Linked DNA regions of Diceros bicornis minor. The protein of the gene in region 2 binds, or shares a complex with, the protein of the main gene of each other region. Links are inferred from orthologs where the notes say so. Each region holds a gene or a part of one and is shown on either strand. Other genes may lie near its edges. The genes, in order: NIFK and MKI67.

Region 1 (10,364 bases), on a different chromosome or scaffold from region 2:
AATCTTCCTTGTGCGGTGTATTAGTCAGGTTACACCCTGACGATGATGCTCAGCAAACAACCTCCCCATCTCAGTGCTTACAGTGAACATTGATCTCCCTCTCACCGGTCTGGCTCTGCTGGGTTTGGCTGGACTCCAGTCTAAGGTCTGCTCCTTTCTCTCACCTTTGTTTCTCATTCAAGGGCCCAGGTGGAGGGAGCAGTGGCTGCCTGGGAATGTTCTTCTCGTGGTGGATGGCACATGAGAATGAGGAGAACAAAGGCTTCTTCTTAACACCTCCATCCAAAAGTGGCACAGTCTCATATCTTCCCACATTCCTCTGGTCAAAGCAAATCATATGGCTGACAGTCAGCGGGTGGGGAGCTCAGCTCCACCGACAGGAAAGCACAGCAAAGGGAAGAAAGAAGAATAAATGGTGGACAAATAATGTGACGAAAACAGTGGACTGTCCCACTCAGCGCAGGATGTTCGGTATACAGCCGGGTGCTGAATGTCAGTAGCACCTCCCAGTCAGTGTGGAAACCCCTAATGCCCCCAGCCTTTCCAAATGCTGCTAAGGGGGCAGAATCACCCCTCCCCCACCCCACTGAGAACCTTTCTCAATACCTGGCAGCCACTCAATAGATATGTGGTAAATGAATCAACTTTGCCAAGTTGCCCTCCAGTACAGTTGTAACAGTTTACACGCTGTTTTAATGTGTAAACGTCTTTTAAGCACTAACAATCTGATCAGGGAGTAAGGGAACCTCATTTAACTTTTCAATTTATATTTGAAAGATTTTTCTTATGTATATTGAAATTCCTTTTGGGAATTCTCTATGTTTTTTATACATCTTTCTATTAAAGTTTTCATCTTTCTCTTATCCATTTCTAATAAACTTTGTCACTTAAAAATTAACATTTTCTCACTTTTTTACAATTTTTAAAATAATTTTTGAAATGCAGACATTGTTAATGTGATTTTATTTGTCAAAAGGACATGCCATGTTTATTAACCCAGTTAGTCCCTTATCATAGGCTATTTTGGTTGGTTCCAATTCTTTCTATTATAAATAACATTGTGATGAAATTCTTTGTAAGCCCTTATCAGGATGTAAGATCATTTCTTTTGATAGGTCCTATTTTTAAAGTTCTTGACATATTTTGCCAAATCACTATGCAGACAGGTTGAACTAATTTCTACTCTCCTGCCCACCAGGGCCTGAAGGAGCCAACTTGACTGCACTCTCCCCAATGTGAATGTTAACACTGCAGACATTCTGGGCTAATTTAAGGGTGAAATTATACCTCATTTAATAGCATGGAAGACTATGTAATGAGTGGTGCACTTCTGCAAGGTTCCTTGGAGGGCAAGAGCGGGTGGAAACAGAATACTGCTTGGGAGTTGTATCCTGCAGTCTGAGAACAGGAGAAGGGGGTTAGGGAGTCAGAGGAAAGAGGGAGATAGGCCTCGGGCTGTGCCTCATTTGTACCCATGGGGTTTTAATTTATAGAGGTGACTGAGTGACAACCAGAGAGGCCAGTGCCATTGAAAGAAGAACTTATTACTTACATTTCTCAAGAGGACAGGGCATGCCATGCCATGCAGGGCCACAGGGGGGAAGCACCAGGTCTGGTCAGGAGGCAGAAGCAGGAGTGAAGGACAGCCTAAGTCAGAGCCTTTATTGGGTTTCTGAGGGAAAGGCAAGGCAGGGTAGGGTCATAGCTTAGGATTGGCCAGTTTGAGTAATTCTGGTGGGCTCTAGGCTGGGAATATTGGCTGGTGTGCGAGTCAGATAAGGAGGGGGCATATGAAAGGGGTGCTCCAGGGTGATCCCTTTGATGTCTCTCAGAATTGGCTAGCCCTGGGAGGGACAGTCTCTCCCCAGCCAGCAAGCTTTTTAAGGTGTCAAAACATCAAAAATACAGAGAATAAAAAACATGATTAATACAGGCTAGGAAGAGGGCACCACGATGCTACTGCAGGCCCCACGGGACCCAGGATGCCAGGACCCAACCCTGTACTGAAGGGCAGGAAAGGATCCAGGGGTGGAGGAAGTGGTTTGTGAGTCAGCACAGGGGTCTTCAGAGGGAATCGGGACCTCTGGGCACCCCTCATTCTCCACTCTCCCCAGCCCCCCTCCCCAGGGCTCCACCCAGCTTCACTCAGGTCACACTTGGGGTCTGGACTTGGGGCTGTGCATGATGTTAACCTGGCACAGAGCAGGATGTAGGCAAAGGTGACAGTCATTCACAAGGACAAAGGAAGAAAATCTTTCTCGTGGCTTCAGGACACACGGCCCTGAATGGTCTGCAGACTGAATTTTAGTTTGTCAGGTGACATTTTATTGAGGCTGCACTGAGTTTCTCCCCACTTCTTCCCCTGGAATTGCCCGTTTCAGGCCCATCTCCAAAATCTGAGCAAGGGGCAGCTGGGCAGGGCCGAGCAGGCTGACTCTGATGGCTGGGCCCACTATCCAGGGTGGCACGTTGGATGACCACACAGGGACCAGGCAGAGAGGAAAACACGGGAGGGGGAAGGTGGGCCGGGCCCACGTGTGTCCCTTCTCCTGCCAGCCCTCAGCCCCACCCCACAGAGCCCTCCCTCCTAAGGCCCAGCCCCCTGGACACAGCACACCCTGCCTCACCCTGCTGCTTGCCCAGCTCTGCTGCCCGCCCCACCTCATATCCCAGCCACCAGCCCTCACCATGCTGGGCCCCCAGCAGGTGTTCCAGCCCATAGGCGGTGATGGTGGCATCACAGGAAAGACACGTGACCATTCCATCCCAGCAGAGGGGTGGCATAGGAGGTCAGTGGGGGAAAAGGAAGGGAAAGTCCTGCAGTAAGCACATTTAATAGTCCACTCAGGGGTGTGTGGCAGTGCCTGGAGCCATTCTGGTTGTTACAATGACTGGGGTGCCACTGGCATTGAGTGCCAGGGGACAGGGTACCAGGGTGGTATGTATGGGACAGTCCAGCTCAGTGAAGAACAGTCCCTCCCAAGGTGTCAGTAGCCTCCCCACCTCCATGCAAAAAGAGAAAGGGGGGGGGGAGGGAGGGAAGAAGAGAAGGAAGGGAGGGAAGAAGGAAGAAGGAGGAAGAGAAAAGATAAGGAAGGACAAACACACACAGCCCCAGCCTGTCACCTGGCATGAAGAAGGCAAGCTGCCAGTCTGAGCATTAGTAGTGTTGCTGCTGCCACTAAGGAGTGAAGACTCCCCCAGGGAGACCTTAACAACCGTCCCAGCCAAACCCTTCTTCACGGATGAGGAGACTGAGGCCCTCCTGGAGAGAGGGCCATCTCCCCCAGGCACATCCCAGGGCGGTAACGGGTTTCTGGGCTCTCTGACCAGGATACCACATCAACTCCTGTGATCACCTACCTAGGTCCCAGAGTGACCCTTGGGCCCTGGGTGGCAGAATGAGATGTTACCCAGCAGGGCCACAGCGAACGTCAGTGGAAATCACTGTTAACTGAGAGTGACTGGCCAAGGCTCAAAGGGGAAATGAAAGCAGGTCCGGTCTGGGCTGCGGTGAGGATTCGGGGCCTGAGACTCCGTCCCCAGTTAAGGGCTGACTTCTATGGTCTGGTGAAGGGCCAAGGAGAGGGTGGCCCGGCATCCTTCTGGGAACATCCAGGAGCTCCTCTGGCACCTGGCCTTCATGGGTAGCTCCCAACAGCCAAGACAGGCCCAGGACCAGTGTCTGCCTCAGAAAACCCCTTCAGGCGGCACCCACCATGGTGCTGTATTCATTTCCTAGGGCTGCCATTACAAATCACCAAAACTGGGGGGCTTAAAACAACAGAAACTTATTCTCACAGTTCTGGAGACTAGAAATCCAAACCCAAGATGTTGGCAGGACGATTTTCTCTCCAAAGGCTCTAGGGAAGAATCCTTCTCTACCTCTTCCCAGCTTCCAATGGTTGTCAGCAATCCTTGGCGTTTCTTAGCTTGCAACTGCCTCTCTCCCATCTCTGCCTTCATCATCACTGTGGTGTTCTCCGTGTGTGTGTGTCTGTGTGTGTGTGTGTGTATCCAAATTTCCTTGTTTTTATAAGGACACTAGTTATTGGATTAGGGCCCACCCTACTCCAGCATGACCTCGCCTTAACTTGATTACATCTGCAAAGACCCTATTTCCATCACATATACCGGGATTAAGACTTGAACATCTCTTTTGGGGGAACACAATTCAACCCAGCACAGTGATCAATTGCCCGAATCCCTCCTACTACTACTCCAAGTTTGGTCCACGGAGCATCAGCCTCACCGGGGAGCTTGTTAGAAACACAGAACCTGGGGCCCCACCCCAGAGCTAGGAATCAGAACTGGCCATGTAACAAGACCCCCAGGAAATCTACATGCTCATTGTTTTGTTTTCTTTTGTTTTGCTGAGGAAGATTCACCCTGAGCTAACATCTGTTGCCAATCTTCCTCTTTTTGTATGTGAGCCAACACCACAGCAAGGCCCTTGACAGACGAGTGGTGTAGGTCTGCGCCTGGGAACCAAACCTGGGCTGCCGAAGCACAGCACACAAAACTTAACCTCTAGGCCACTGCGGCTGGCCTCTCATTCAGTTTTGAGAAACCTTGGGTCACCACCCACCTGGGGGATGTAACGGGAGGCCAGGAATTCATGGAGGTGGTTGCAAAAACTGGAAAGAGGATCTCCCAGAAGAGAACTGTCACTTTGCTGTCTTCCCTTCTCTGCTCCTCCCTACCTCTCTCTTCCCCTTAGAAGCTATGAGATATGTCAAGTTTCATCCTTGGGAAAGAGGGGAGTGTTCACACACACACACTCAAGGGAGGGGCCTTTAGGGAACCAACAGCTTGTTCTGTGTCCTCTGGAATTTGGGGGATACAGGCACCCATAAGTGACTCATAAATCAAACATCTAACTTTGACCAGCCAGGAGGCCCACCCTACAGCAATGCAAAGAGGAAAAAGCATCTCCTACAACAGAGAGGACAAAAGATGTGGCCCTTACTAAAGGATCAGGATGGGGTCAGCTTAGAAAGGCCCTTCCAATAGGAGCACCTGGACACACAGCTGACCTAAGCAGGCAGGTGGTACCACAGGCAGGCAGGCTAAGCCATGAGCAGCCAGGCGAGGGAACACCTCAAAAGTATGCCTGGAAAGAGTGAGTCAGCAACCAAGGATGCGCCCCACCTGAAGCTCCCCAACCACATGGCACCTGCCAGTCAAGGAGCCCCTTCCTGCCGCTTCCTTGCGCTCTCCCCATCTCAATCATGGAGAAGCCAAAAAAGAAACTGGGGTGCAGGGGACAAGGTGAAGCCAGAGAGACAATGTCAACTGTGACTCCTTGAGAGATTTCTCACCTGAGACAGGTCCGAGTGTGGGGAGAGGAGACACTTGCTGTCAGATTTTGAACACCCTGAAAACATTTCTATACACTGATATCTGAGGAGCTCTCCCCAAGATTTCGTCCAGGGGGGAGAAGGAACAAGTCCATGAAAAGAAGCAGTCCTGAGAAAGAATAAAATTGCTCTCTGCTTGCACTCTCCTGAAAATCCAGCTTGTTCATGAAAACGCCATTGTAAGAGAGTATTTAATAGGAGGAGGTGACCTCGGCAACAGGGTCGCAGAGGGCTTCCCTGACAGGTGACAGTTGAGCTGAGCTGGGGTGTGACTGGGGTGAGGGACGCAAAGGCAGGCAAGTGGCTCCCAGAGGAAGCACGCTGGCCCTCACTGTACAATCGCTCCCACGCCACTCTACCCTACAGTTACCATCCACTCTTCCCACAGGTACCCCTGGGCACCAGCCAAACTCAGCCCTCATTGGTTCCAGAACACCTGCCACCACCATCCCCCAGAGCAGCTCTGCTTTGACTATTGCTCTAGCCTCGTCCCCACCCCACCCCACGCCACCCCCGCTTCCTCTGCTATCCACCTTCCACCCTTACTAGAGTAGTAGTTGAAAGGTACAGCCACAGCCTTGCTTAAAACCCTCACACCCCCTGCATTTACAATAAAACCCAAGCTTTAAACCTTGACACAGAGCCCTGGAGCTCCAGCCTGCCCCCTTGCCCCTCTCCCTCACACGCTGAGCTCCAACCACAGTGGCCGACTCCTTCTTTCCAGCCGTAAGGACACTGTACACGCTGTCCCTCTTGCCTGCACGGTGGGCTTCCAGGTCTGCACAGGCTGCTCCTTCCAGCCTTCAGGTCTCAGTTCAAATGCCACCTCCTCCAGGAGGCCCTCATTGGTCACCAGTGTGCTTCCCCCCTCCACGGGGCTCTTATGTCTCCCATTACACCAATCCCACCCTCAAACGTCCTTTATCCACCCACTCCCCATCCCCCCCCACCCACCCAATCTGTATGTTACCTAAGGGCAGCAGCAGCAGGACACACAGTAGGCTCAGAAACGAGCGAGTGAAAAAAGGAAATAAAAAAGAATTAAAGAATGGTTAGCAAGACCTCAAAAGCACGGATATTGTTTGGGATTTATTTTTAAACCCCCTTTGAAATTGGCTGGCCGCAAAGCAAGCGTGAACAAACTACCGTCTGCCATTTTAGGCAGGCGGTCAGCGCGAGAGCGAGGCCAAAGGGCACCCGGCCCGCAGGGGGCGCCCGAACTCGCCCAGCCCCGCCCCCGCGCCCCGCGCGTCGCCGCGCACGTCCCGCCTCACTTCCGCTTCGGAGGAACTCAGGGCTCGGCATTTCCGGACGCGCCGCGTGGAGCTGGTCGTCTTGGGGACTTGCAGCATGGCGGTCTTTGCGGGCCCCGCCAAGACTCTCCTGTCCCTGAACCCACAGGAGGACGCCAAGTTTCAGAAGGAGGTGGCGCAGGTTCGCCGGCGCGCCACCCAGGTGAGCGGCCGCCACGGCCGGGCTGCGAGGGGAGGCGGCGGGCCGGGTCTGGGCCGCGGGGACGCGCGGGCCCGGTGCCGCGCCCTGCTGCCCCCGGGATGGCCTCGGGTGAGCGCCGACCTCGCGAGTTTGTAGGCCGAGCCCCCGAGACGGAGTGTGCGCTGACTGGGAAATGGGGGTGGGCTGTGGCCGCGGAGGTCTTAGAGTCCTCCCGTGGACTAAGGGTGAGGTGTGGGGGGACGAGAGGAGCAGGAGCCAGCTGGGACGGGCCCTCTCGGTCCACGGATTAGAGCTCCCACGCGTCCGCCTGGCCCCCGAATTCAGAGAGTTCATATGTCTGGTTGGTAGTTTGGAGACAGTATTTGCCAAGTTCCGTTTGCTGATTAGGGCCCCTGACGTCAAGTTATAGTTGTCTTGATTTTTAGCAGGAAATACACGTTTGAAAACTTAAAAGTTGTAATAGAAGGCAAGGACATGATGACAGACGCTGAAAAGTTCGTTGGCGTTGTGAAGGGTTACGGAAGTTTCGAAATTGTTTGGTTAGGTGGGTGCGAGTCAACAGCGATCCGCATACAGAGGTGAAGGGTACTTTTATGTGGAGTTCTCCGGCCTGAAGATTTAAAATAGTGTGTTCAAAGACTTGTTGATTCAACGTATAGTTATCGAGCATGAACATTGTGCGGCGTGCTGGGACACAGGCTGAGAAGACAATCCGCTGTGATGATTGTCCTCGTGGGGAGATGGACATTAAACAGCTAACTCTTTAGTTACTGTTCTGCTAAGTGGAAATAGTGGCTAGGCTCTTGGTCTCCTCTTGAGAGTTAGGGAGGTTTGCAAGTTTTGTTGCAATGTGATTTTTTTTAATTGAAAAAGTAATTATCTGTTTTTTATGTTTTCAGCGACAGGAGAAAAAAAAACTCACTCCTGGAGTAATCTATGTGGGCCACCTACCTCCAGCGCTTTACGAAACCCAGATCCGAGCATATTTCTCGCAGTTTGGCACTGTTACAAGACTTAGACTGTCCAGAAGTAAAAGGGTAAGATTTTTGTGTTGAATTTAGATTGTCTGTTTGTTTCTTTAAAAGGATGTCATCCTTGATAGTTGAGAGCATGTCCACATATTATTGTTTATCAGACTTTGCTCCAGAAAAGGGAGGTGGATGAGGTTTAGAACCTGAAACAACCACAAAAGCAAAATCAGTATTATTGTAAATGTTTACTTTATTTAAAAAAAAACGTGGGGGCTGGCCCCATGGCCTAGTGGTTAAGTTCAGCATGCTCTGCTTCAGTGGCTTGGGTTTTCGGGTTTGGATCGCAGGCACGGACCTACACCATTTGTCAGCCATGCAGTGGCCGCGACCCACATACAACATAGAGGAAGATTGGCACAGATGTGAGCTCAGGGCCAATCTTCCTCGAGAAAAAAAAGTGATTGCCCCAAATCCTCAAATTAAATTGACAATCCTAGTAAATAAATCATATTTATTTTATGGCTACTGAGCCAGGTGTACATGAACTTCAGTTTGAGGAGCGGTTCATACATCATCTTGTATTACCCTTTGGTGTAGGCACCCCGTAATAGCAAAAGTTTGTATAGTGAATAGTTAAGGATGAGGACACTGGAGCCAGACTACCTAGGTTTGAGGCCTGACTCTACAGGTTACTAGTTGTACGACCTTGGACAAATTATGTAACCTCTGCATGCATCGGTTTTCTGATTTGTAAAATATGAGTAAAAGAGCACCAACCTCCTAGGAGTATCTAGTGAAAGATTAAACACGGGGTAATGAATGTAAGGTTCTTAGAGCAATGCCTGATAACACACAGTAAACACTGTATAAATGTTATTGTTATATTATCTCTATCTCCTGATAAAAAATGGTTTATGTGGTTTGTATCAGTAAAGGAGGAGTGGCCCACTTTATTTTCTTCCTGCACACATAAACTTTAATTGGTTGTAACCATAGACCTCTCATTGTTGGAATCTCTGGGGGTTTTTTGTTTTTTTGTTTTTGTGAGGAAGATCAGCCCTAAGCTAACATCCGTGCCTATTTTCCTCCACTTTATGTGGGACGCCACCACAGCATGGCCTGACAAGCGGTGCGGAGGTGCACACCCGGCATCCAAACCTGGGCCGCCAGCAGCAGAGCGCGCATTTAACCTCTACGCCACGGGGCCGGCCCCTCTCTGGGGGTTTTTTGATACAGTTTTTCCGCATTTTCCTGCCTGAGTTATAACAAATCAAAGTTAAATTTTATATTTGATTTGGCATGTGAGGGGATAGGGTATGTGTCCATCATCTGCTAGTTGTTATAAAACCACAGGTATTAAATGTTGTCAAAGCAACACGTCAGCATTAAAGGGAATTTTAAATTTAAAGTGCCCTAGTATTTCTTCCATCCTAACGAAAATAACATATTTTCTTTGTATTCCTTCCCTTTTATTCCATTTGCTTATTTGTAGTGGTTTCTTATTAGGTGGGTGAGATATTTCAAACCTCCTGAAGTCTGCTAGAGAGTGATTTAGTGACTGTTCAGGTATCTGCCGTTCACCTTTATCAGATGTCAGCTTCATCTCAAACTTGCTCCAGATCTTTGTTCTTTAAGAAATGGATTATAGGTGAACTTGAGGTCCCTTTGTACCCTTCCCCAGTCCTCTGCACCTTCTCCCCATGCCCAGGGAATTAGTATTCATGAATTCAGTGTTTTTCATTGCTGTGTGTGTTTTTCAATTTTTACTACATACTCATGTATCAATATACATTGTACATTATTGTTTTAAATCTATATTAGTTATATATTTTATTCTGAAACTTAATTTTTTCATTCAACTGTCTGCTCTGAGCTTTATTGATACAGCTCTAGCACATTCATTGTCATTGCTGTGTCCTTTGCTTGAACATACTAAAGTTCATTTATCTGTCTTCTATTGAACATGAGGGTTTTGTGTTTTTTTTTTTTACAGTTTTTCACTGTTATACGTGAAGCCACTAAGAACATTCTTTGTGCAGGTGTAGGCAAGTTTCTCTAGAATAATATTTTTCAGACTTTTGACCCACAAGAAGAAGTAAGGTACACCACAAGCCAGCACACATATACGTGTATGTAAACATAAGTGAAATAAAAGTCATACGAGATAATACTTAACCTTTCTATTCGGTTTTTTAGAAATACCTTTCTGACCTACTAAATTGATTTTGTTTTCCTCTAAAAGGTCAGACTCTCAGTTTGAAAGATACTGCTCTACAGCTTATCCTCAGAATCACTGAGTATAAAATGGTCATGGTTTTTTTATCTGCCTTATTAGTGAGGTTAGTATCATTAGGTGTTTATTGGCCGTTGGAGTTCTCTCTTCTGTGAATTGCCTATTCATGTCTTTTGCCGTTTCTTATTATTGTCTTTTTCAAAAACTCTTTTCCTGCCTTTTGTGGGACGTTATTTTATAAATGTTTTCCCATATTGCAGTGTAGTCATTGTTCCCCCGCCTCAGCTTTGTATTTTGAAAATGTTCAATGTTGAAGTCTACAGAGAGATAGAAAGAATAGTATAA
Region 2 (10,047 bases):
TTAAAGGCCCTGTCTCCAAATACAGTCACATTGTGGGGTACTGGGGGTTAGGAACTCAACATAAGAACTTTGGGAGAGCACAATTCAGTCCATAACAGGTGATCACAAGGGTGTTCAACTCATGATAAATTAGCTATACATCTCATTTTGCATTTTTCTCCATGAGCATAATTTATTTCGAAATAAAAAAGAAACTAAAAAACATATGCAGTTTCACAACAAAATAAAACTCCTTAAGGATCTGGTCACTCCTCTTTTGCACAAGTACGTGCACTCAAATCCTTGAATTGAATCACATAAGCCCCATTTGTCTTTCCTTCTAGATCCATTTGATTTTAGATTAAGAATTACTGTTGATAATGACAACCTCAAACACTGACATTCACCGGGGTTAAAGAAGGAGCACAGATGATGTGTGAGGCTAGTTTTTGGTGACTCAAAAGATCCATTTATTTTCAGCCCAATTAGTTTTTACCTACCTGAAAGATCGATCAACAATGGTTATCACATCGCCATGTTTTAGTCGTATGGGTTCATCAATAGCAGATCCATTTACTTGTGTAGGACTTGTGGAACTGAAATTAAACAATATTGCCTACAAGTAGGAAAAAGGAGGAAAACGTAACTAATATGTAGGTAAAAACTGAAATGAAAAGTTTTAAAAAATAGACTTCTAAATCCCACTTACTGCTTGCTCATTGATTTCAATTTTGCAGTGCTGTTTTGACACTACAGGAAGCTGAATACGGATGTCACATTCGATGCCCCTTTATTGAAAAGAATTAAGATTTTTTAGGTTGGCAATTTTTAAAAACATTAAATCAATGTTTCAAAATAAAACAGCATTTGACTATGTGTTTGATCTGTAAATGTAATGACATAAAGGAGGAACAAATTCATCAATGTAAACAATCTTTGCATCTTACAAACGATTTTTACAAGTATTATATAAGCAATTATTTTAAATCTTAAAACATAGAGGGCTTAAAAATAATTATAATAGAAAATATTAGAATACAAAATTGAATTGCCTTTTAACTAAAATATCTATGGCTATAAGACCCAAATAAAGGAGTAATTTATATCAGCTTGGAGAATAATTATTTTTAATATTCTGTTTTTATTCTGCAAAAAACGGTTTATGTATGTCTATTTGTAATGTTCCGTATGTTTAAAGGTTTAATCATCACCAGAAGTGCAGTATTTCACGCTGGCACCTCTCTGTGCCTCAGTTTCCTCATATACAAAAAGAGAATCACATTAGCAGCCATGTCATAGTGTTGTTCAAAAAATGAGTTACACGTCTGTCACTCGCCTGGCACACAGTCAAAGCTCATTACTTTTGAGCTTTTTATTGTTGTTTTAAAACTACACCATATTAACAGACAGATTCACAAGTCTCCTATCATTAAAAATACTAATCCGCGTGCAACAAAAAAGCATTATTAGATCAACTTGTCTTTCCACAAAGAACATCAGCAGGATGAACCAGACGGGAGATTTCCCAGACCCACGTGGAAACTAACCAGAGGTCCTTAGTGAGGTTCCTTGGGTCTCTGGTGTCCCTGTTACCGTAAGTTTGAACAAGTGTATACTCGCCTCTCTGTTCTCAACATGCACCTACGGAGTCTAAGAATACCATTTCCTACCCATGTCATATGACCAAACACTTATGAACAGGTTTCTAAATTACAAAATCTTGCATAAACATACATTTAATCACTGCTGTATAATAACCAGAATTACTGCCATTTGATACCAAAATGTTTATTTTTACCTTTGAAGAGAAAAGAAGCTAGGGAAAGTGAACAGCTATTTTAAACCAAAGAAGAGAATTTGATTTTTAGGTGTCAGAACATTCCAGCAAGAGAGAAAGAGAGACTGTCTCAGAACTTAGCATTTGTTTGGCAGGAAACCGCCAACTAGAATCACTCTAGATCAGTGGTTCTTAACCTCAGCACTGGTGATATTTTAGGCCAGATAGTTCTTTAAAGTGGGGGCTGTCCCGTACCTTGTAGGACGTTTGGCTGCATCCCTGACCTCGGCTCACTGATGCCAGTGGCATGAGCCTCGTCTCTGCCACACTGTGACATAGAAACATGTCTCCAGATTTTGCCAAAAGTCTCCTGGGGGGCAAAGTGGCCCTATGCTGAGAACCACTGCTGCATATGCTTCCAAATCCAGCCCATGTTTCTAGTGAACACTTACCAGAGTGCTAAATATCAATCCTCTCTCATTTGCCAGACCCCATACCAGGCACCAAGCACATAACTACTAACTAGATATCCCTGTCCCTGGAAAGCTTAGCAGTGGGACAGACAAACCAAAGACTCATCACCATGTGTGGTGTTGGGAAAGACAAGAGCAGTGTTCTTTAAAGGCTTCTTTTCAGGTAACATTTAAAACAATATCTGAAAGTTGGAAAGGAATCACTCACACAGGAGGGTAGAGGGAACATCCCAGTTATATAGTTCAAAATGGCTAAAAGCACAAGGGGAGCCAGAGCTTGGAATTTCTGAGGTGGGGTGGAACATGGTAGGGAGGGAGCTGGTAGGACAGGGTGTGTAGAAGGGGGTGCGGGTCCTAACACACAGGACTCCACAGGGAGGGTGACCTATCATTTGTTAGAATTCGAGTGAAAGAGAATGAAAGAGAGTGCGATTAATAATGTTTCCTGCTATTCAGGGACCACAGCTATCGAGACCAACACCAGAAGGTAACAAAAGAGGAGTTCTCCAAACACTAGCAGGAGGGCTTTCCTCCCATTTTCATTTTTCCGAAAATACCACAAACCGTAAACAGAGCCTCCTTCCTTCCTTTGCTCAACAGTGTCCCCCAGTAGCCAAGGAATGCCAAGTTTGGAGGGATTTCAGATGAACACAATGGTCTTCTAAAGACTGCCTGAAGAGAATCAGGATTTGAGAATCATCTACATTTTTCTCCGTTTAAAGATCTTTATCAAATCAATATTAAAATTTTTGTTTGATTAGAAAAACACAACTGTATAAATATTATTCCCCAAATTCTATTGTGTAATCAACAATTCAGTCCAGTTGACAACACATAGTAAGTCCTGAGTAAACCTGAGGGCAGGAACTACTCCTAGAGCCATGTTTCCAGCCTGTTAATCTGTGATGAAGATATTCAAGTCTTTTTAGCCGAATTGTCCACGCGTGCACAGGGCTCACCTTCCAAACAAGCATGTGCTGAGGCTCAACGGGAAGTGGGGGCCGTCGACCCCGCTCCTTTTGATGGTAACAAGGCGTCCTGTAGGACCCATTTTCTAAACAAGATTTGGAGTATAATCCGTATGGGAATGTCAGGCATCAAAAGGTTCGCTGAAGCAAATTTACAAGCCGCTCTTGCACTGCAGGAACATGCCACTGAGTAAAACAATAATAAAACACGCGGGGGGGGGGGAGATTACCCTGAAAGCAAAGAGCTAAGAAGTCACTTGTAAGTGACCGATTGGAGTCGCTTGTACGATTCCCCATGCCTCTGCCGCCCTGGCCCACACCTCACCTGACCCCTGTGGGAGCCCCAGCCAGGTCCCTGGCCGCCCACCGGAACCCAGCGCCCCCCCAAGACCCGCGGCCAGGAGGCCGCCCACCAGGGCCACATCTCCCAGGAGTTCCCATCGAGACAGGGACCAGGCCGCGCTCCCGGCGCCGGTGCCCGCAGTGCCCGGAGGAGTCCCCGCTGCCCCGGCCCGAAAGGCCGCCCCTCGCTCCCCCCACCCCCAGAGGCGCCCCGGCCGCAGCTCACCTAGGACGAGTCACCGACACTGTCACCAGTGAGTCCACTGCTTGTCAAGGCGCAACCCAAGTCCGCACCGGGAGGAGCCGGACGCGTCCACCTGCGTCCACCACCCGCCCCGCGCTGCAAGGGCCGGGACACCGTCCGCGGGCCCGCACCCACCTCCGCCGCGGCCGCAGTCGGCGCTCCCCCCGCGGTCACCCTCGCCGGTGACCGGGTGGCCCTGCCCAGCTACGTGTCAGAGACGCCCGGCGTCAGCGGCTCGGGCGCGGAAAGCTGCCCGCCTCGCCCTCCCGATTCAAATGAAAACAGCGATTCAAATTTGGCGCTAGGCGCTGCGATTGGACGCGGCGGCGCGGCGGCAGACCAATGGGAAGGAGCGAGAGTGGGGCGGGGGCGGGGCAAGAGGGAACGGAGCGGCAGGCTCCGCGGGGAGGGGCGGGCGGGCTGCGCACCCCAGACGTCTTCTCGGGGTTCTCTCCAGGGACAACACGCAAAAAGGGCGGAAAGGGAACCTGGTCCAGGCGCCGCGAAACCTCTCTCGTCCCCTTTTCTTTAAGGACCTAATACAATAGTACACAATACGTTACTCATTGCTGGAAGGCTTAAAATTTTTTGAAGTTTCTATATCTGCCCAAATATAACCAATCATTATAAGCAATTTCTTGTGTGTTTTCCCAGTTACACATGTATTATTCTCTTTCAAAAATACACTAAAAAGATCATAATATACACATTGTTCTGTACTTTGTGTTTTCTGCTTAATAAACCCTGAAGATATTGAGTACATCTTCCCTTTTTACTTTCTTTTTGATGGCTGCAGAGTATTATGCTTTAGGAAAATATAATTTACTTAATCATTACTATTGCTGTACATATAGGTTTACAATGTTTTCCTATTCGAAAAAAATTCTCCAGTTAAAAAACCGTGTGCATTACCAATTGGATCAATCCTGAAATAACCACAGGATTCCTCTCTGGAGTCACCTGCCCCGCGGGAGGAGGAGCGGGGTGGGGGTGGGGGGTTTCCTGTGGGCCAACGTGGTGTGAAGTTAATAGAGCGAAAACGTGCCTTGGCAATGCCAGCCCTCCAGGTCACCTCCCTCCAGCTCTCCCCACACCCTTTGGAGCTCGGCTGTCTTTGATCAGGAGCAATAGTTCTCACAGCTTGGCCTGGGGACCCCTGAGGATGTCTGAGATCCTTGCAAGGGGTCCATGAAGTCAAAGCATGTTTGTAATAACGCCGGACGTTCTGTGCCCTTTGCACTCTCGTTTTCTCTTGCATGTAGGGTGGAGTTTCCTGAATGCAGAAGCAGATGTGAGAATCCAGCTATCTTTTACTAAATCAGGTATTACAGAGATTTCAAAAAATAGAAAACAATGCTGCTCTTTTCACTATTTTTTTTGTTTTGGATAATATAGATATATTTCATAAAATATGTTTTATGTTAACTTGAAATGGGTTCATCATTGCTTTAAAATGAATTGACAAATGAAGTTTTTGAAATTATTCACTTAATAATCTGCATTAGCAGAAATTCTTAGTGGTTCTCAATGATTTTTAAGAGCCTAAAGGGGCCCTGACACCAAAAAGTTTGAGCCTTTCTGCTCCTGAGTGACAACGTGGAGACAGACTGCCTACGGGAATACGGAAATCTAGAATTTGGCAACGTGAATGTGCAGGATTTCCAGCTCTTAGTTGTCTGTGATGAGGCTGATATAATTTAAATGCATGGATACTATTAACCTTCTTTAGGGGATTAGCTTGCATTTCCTTCCCCTTTACACTAGCCAAGAAAGCTCATCTCTGAACAACCCGGTAAAATGCTGCTTTTGTCATTCTCATTACCGCTTGTTATCGGAGACTGTTCGGTGACCCTGGTCGGGGCAGCCTAATTAGAACTAGGAGGTGCTAGACTTCCTGGCAAATAATCTTACAAACATTGTGCCACACACATATTCAGTTCTCAAGAGAAAACGGGAAACTATAGAGAAAACTTAGGGAATTGTCTAAGTGGTGGATCTTAGATCTGCGGGACAGCCCTCTTTAAACCGTTTGATGATATACTTTAGCAGTGGTGTTTTCTGTTGCATTTGAAGCTTGGTCCACAGCCCAGGGCTTCATTAAAACAGATCTCCCTCCTGTCACCAGAATCCCTGCACCATTTGCAGGGCTGGGGTCTGGACCTGGGGCTCCTCTTCAGCACTGTCAGAGTCTTGAATAGGGTGTGGAATAGGGATCCTATAGTTAGAGCACCAAGGACCCAGGATGGGCAGGAAAAGGCTTTCCACGGAGTGTGTGGACCTAGGGCATTTCCAGAGAATCAATTTCCAGATCCTCACAGTCTCCACGCACTCATGCCTAAAATCAGTCAGCCGAGAGAAAGTGTCTCCGTCGGAATTCCCTGCCCCTGGGCTCCTTCTCCCTGCCCTCGCCGCTGCCAGTTAGCAATCTCACCTGCCTGAAATTTACTACGGGGAAGTGTCCCAGGCACCCTATAAGGGACCACTCAACAATTCCTTTAAACTCCGTGCCCATCTACCTGATTCGTGGCTGTATTTTCAAACAACTGAGTATATATCTAATAAATATTTATCACATTTGAAACGTATATGTTGTTTGGTCATCTGTGTTCCAGGAAGTATTATACTCTGTAATCCCTGACACCGGGTCCAGCCAGTGGTGGAAAGGCAGGGACGTGGAGGGACCTCGCAGGGCGGGGGCGTCCGGGCGTCCCTCCAGGGCCGGTTGTGCCCCCTACTCGTCCGGTCAGTCTAGGACCCCGGCACCCCAGGAAACGCACGGGGCAGGTGCTCTAAGTTCCCGGGATGCCTCCAGTTCCAGCCAGGTGCCCTGGCCCTGGGACCCTCCAACGGTTGCAGGTAGGGGTCTCGGCGCCACTCAGCCGGCCCCTAGCCTCCCAACTTCACTTTCCCTCCCTGTCTTTTAATCACCCCCCTCCTCCTGCCAGCCTTCCAATCAGGAGAGACAAAGTGAGGGTGGGGGATGGGAAAGGCGGCCCAGGGGTGGGGCTGGGGTCCTTTTGAAATGGATCCGGCATGCACTTCCCTCCTGGAGGTCAGCTGCATGGCTGAGACCCTGGAGACCCCTAGATGCCCCGTCGTTGTGAGCTGCAGCCCCGACGCCCAGGCGCTGACCCGGCCCCAGGGCACCTGCCTGGCTTCAACCACCAGCCCCAAAGCTGGACTTGCTTCCCAGGGTCCCAAGCCCTGGTCGCTTCGAGTTCGGGGCTCCCCGAGAGCAGGATCTCAATCGCTTCTCTCCCAGGTCAGAAGCTGGACTGCTTCTCAACCATTCCCTTTCGCCAGACTTCCATAGGGGAGTTGACCAGGTGGTCTGTGGGGTTGCCCCTCCCTGTCCATCCATCCCCTGTCCTGTGCCCCCAGACCTCCCAGTCCCTTCCCCCTCCCCCCACCTCAAATTCTGTTGGCCCTTCCCCATTCCGTAAGTCTTAACTCTGAAGACGGTGTGATAGAACCCTGCTGACCTCTGCGACCTCAACCCAGGCCCCTCTGTAGGGCGATCACCACAGACAGACCTGCTGCAAATTGCTCCCAGATCATGTGACTTCCTGGTTTTTTCCTTCAGAGGTTGCTAATGACTCAGAATAGAACCAAAACTCCTGCCTGGCCCTATGGGACCATATGTGACCTTGGGTCTCCTGCCTCCTTGGCCTCCTTGATCTGAGTTCTCTCCCTGTGCTCCAGCCCCCTGAGCTTCTTCCTTCCTCAAAGGGCCCAGATCCTTCCAGCCTCAGGGCTGTTGACTCTGCCGCTCCCTCCACCTGGAGCCCTTCCCCTGGCAAGGAGAGGAGGTGAGCTTTGCAGACTGGATGAATCAGCCCTAGAACAGGTAGTTTAAGACCCCACCTGGAGAAGAGTGCCCCTGGATGTGCCCTGACCGGTGAAGGCCGCTCCAGCCAAGGGGGGCTTCTACATCACCCAAACACACCACACTCGACTGAACAGCCTGGAGAAAAGGGGCACCAGGACATTGATTCCTACTCTATGAGTTTAGAAAAAGAAATTGGGAATAAATACGGCATTGAAAAACATGAAAGAAATTTTGAAAAGCATTTTTTAATTTGAGAAGCTAATACTATATATTTTCGTCATAGGATATTTGGAAAATATACAAATGTAAAAGGAAGAAAGAGTTACCTCAAGACGTGCAAGAAATACCATCATATTTTTCTCTGTATAATCTTTATTTTACATTAGAAGCATTACACATCTATGTATATACATGCACCATTTTATTTCCTAAGCTTTCATTTAGCATTAAAATGTAAGCATTTTCTCCTTCACTTTTGGTGAATACCAATTTGATAACCCTATTTCCCTGTGTTTGAACATTTAAGTTTTTTCCTAACATTTTATTATTACTAATAATGCTGTGATGAACATTTTGAGCAAAAATTTTGTTTTGATATAATAGGCTATGTTCTTAGTTTATATCTCCCAAAATCTACTTGCTGGATTCAATAATATTTGCTTCATGTCATCTAATTGCTTGCTTTTCAAACGGGTTGTAACAATTTTTCTACCCAGTTCAATGCTTGAGAATGCCTTTTTTACTACCAGCTTTTTGCATTCACATTTTAAATTCTCTTCTAATTTGAATAAATGGAATATTGTTTCATTTTGAATTTTAAAATTACTAGTAAGGTTGAACACTTTTCCTTACCTGTTTAAACTTTCATCTTTTGATAATAGTCTTTTTGTGCCATTTGTCTAATTATCTGTTAATGTCTTAGAGTTTTCTTCATCAATTTATTTGGTAAATATATAAATCCTTGTTCTGCAGAGTTAGTAGAATTTTAAAAGTCAGTCATAAAGCCAAGAACATTTAAAGCCACTTGTGGGATTCCTTGAATAAACGTGTATAAAGAGTAAAGCTCTCCAGCTCTCCCAGAAAATTCTATGTGTGGCTGACATTCATGGTGGGGGCAGGGGGCCCAAAAACAGCTGTCTTCAAAGATGACCGAAAAGCCCACAGAGAAACTCCCAGAGAAGGGTCACTTGAGTGTAAAATGGGAAAATAAAGATAAAATAAGGTTAGAAAGGATATCAGGTGCACCTTGATCCCTGTGCAGGAATGGCTTCACTTCGAGTGGGGGACACTGGCATATCTACAGGCAAGTGACAGCACGGGGCTCTGCCAGCTTATATAAATGCTCGAAAGATGCTGAATGAAATCGTTGCTTCACAGGCAACTGACAGAGAAGGAAACAATGCAATGGAGAACGTTGTTACCTCCAGGCGTAAATGCTGTGTGAGTAGTTAAACTAGATCGGTAATTGATAATCCAATATAAAAATCATTCTTTGCATTGTCAAATGTTTGAGTAACTAACAATCTGACACTTTCCATTCTGTGGTCTTCATACTTCTTGACTCCCAGGGCCCAAGGGTGCCCCTGGAGAGCATCTCATAGACCCTCCTTCCTTAACTTGAGGGGGGTGTCATTATTGAAATTCGTCTGGAAAGGAGATTTCACAAACCGTTTTTTAGTATCTGGTTCTTACAAAATAAAGAGAAAGATCTGTGAGTTTAAGTTGAGATATCTGAATTGCTTGAGAACAGAATTTCAACAATAATGATCAAAACTTTAATAATTAGTTCAGAGAAGTTTTTATCCGATAGTAACTGTTTTTTACTTTAACAAAATATTTAGAGACGATCAATGATTATTTATACGTAGTTATTAGAGGATCGCACAATTCTAAGCATATTACTACCTTTGGTAAAGCCCTCATTAGAGTCGTCACTAAAATTTGCCTTTGAAACATTGGAAATTTCTTGGTAGGGAAAAGAAATTTTCCTTGAGACTCCTTTCTCTTTTGCCAGTTAAAAAAAAAATTGTCCTTCACATATGTCTACCTATCAAGGAAGTTTGTTCTGTGATGTCTTGAAAAGTTAGTAACTAGCAAGGCTTGGAAATATGCTCTACAAACATGGCTCACTGACAAGCAGTCCAGTTTCCAGACATGATGGTTCCCCTTGGGGGACACAGTCCAAATTGAGCAGGACAGGGACATTGGGAGCAAAGGTCAGAGAGGGTCCACATATCAATCAGGGCATCGGGCAACTTGAAGAATGTACAGGCTGATCTTGAACACTTGTTGGTAAGAATTGAATAGGGACCCCTAGAACTCTGAAACTAAAAAAGCTCTCTGTCCTAACCCCCCACTCTAATACTGTAGGAAAAGCCCTCCCACCTAAGTAATAGGGAAATGAATTGTGATGGAATGTCCTGCACATTAATCAT

Evidence for each region.
Region 1: the proteins of MKI67 (region 2) and NIFK are in contact, whole or in part, in an NMR structure (PDB 2AFF), measured with the Homo sapiens proteins. The link is inferred for Diceros bicornis minor from reciprocal best matches to the Homo sapiens genes MKI67 and NIFK. Residues at the interface, in NP_002408.3 of Homo sapiens: Thr9, Ile10, Lys11, Arg12, Ser13, Pro18, His19, Phe20, Pro21, Ser23, Leu24, Arg31, Gly32, Ile33, Glu34, Cys35, Asp36, Ile37, Arg38, Ile39, Gln40, Leu41, Pro42, Val43, Val44, Ser45, Lys46, Thr66, Asn67, Ile91; in NP_115766.3 of Homo sapiens: Val228, Asp229, Ser230, Gln231, Gly232, Pro233, Thr234, Pro235, Val236, Cys237, Phe241, Leu242, Arg245, Gln248, Val249, Leu252, Asp256, Lys257, Asp259, Glu260, Ile261, Val262, Phe263, Lys264, Gln265, Pro266, Ile267.

What each region holds. Positions count from the first base shown.
Region 1 is NC_080749.1:11,040,397-11,050,760, forward strand, and holds the start of NIFK (MKI67 FHA domain-interacting nucleolar phosphoprotein), read left to right. Parts: upstream 1-6,666; 5' UTR 6,667-6,710; coding exon 6,711-6,815; intron 6,816-7,714; coding exon 7,715-7,852; intron 7,853-10,364.
Region 2 is NC_080745.1:90,449,659-90,459,705, forward strand, and holds the start of MKI67 (proliferation marker protein Ki-67), read right to left. Parts: upstream 3,912-10,047; 5' UTR 3,766-3,911; intron 3,384-3,765; exon of another isoform or gene 3,368-3,383; 5' UTR 3,281-3,367; coding exon 3,189-3,280; intron 768-3,188; coding exon 689-767; intron 596-688; coding exon 480-595; intron 1-479. UniProt on the Homo sapiens protein: Protein that associates with the surface of mitotic chromosomes and acts both as a chromosome repellent during early mitosis and chromosome attractant during late mitosis.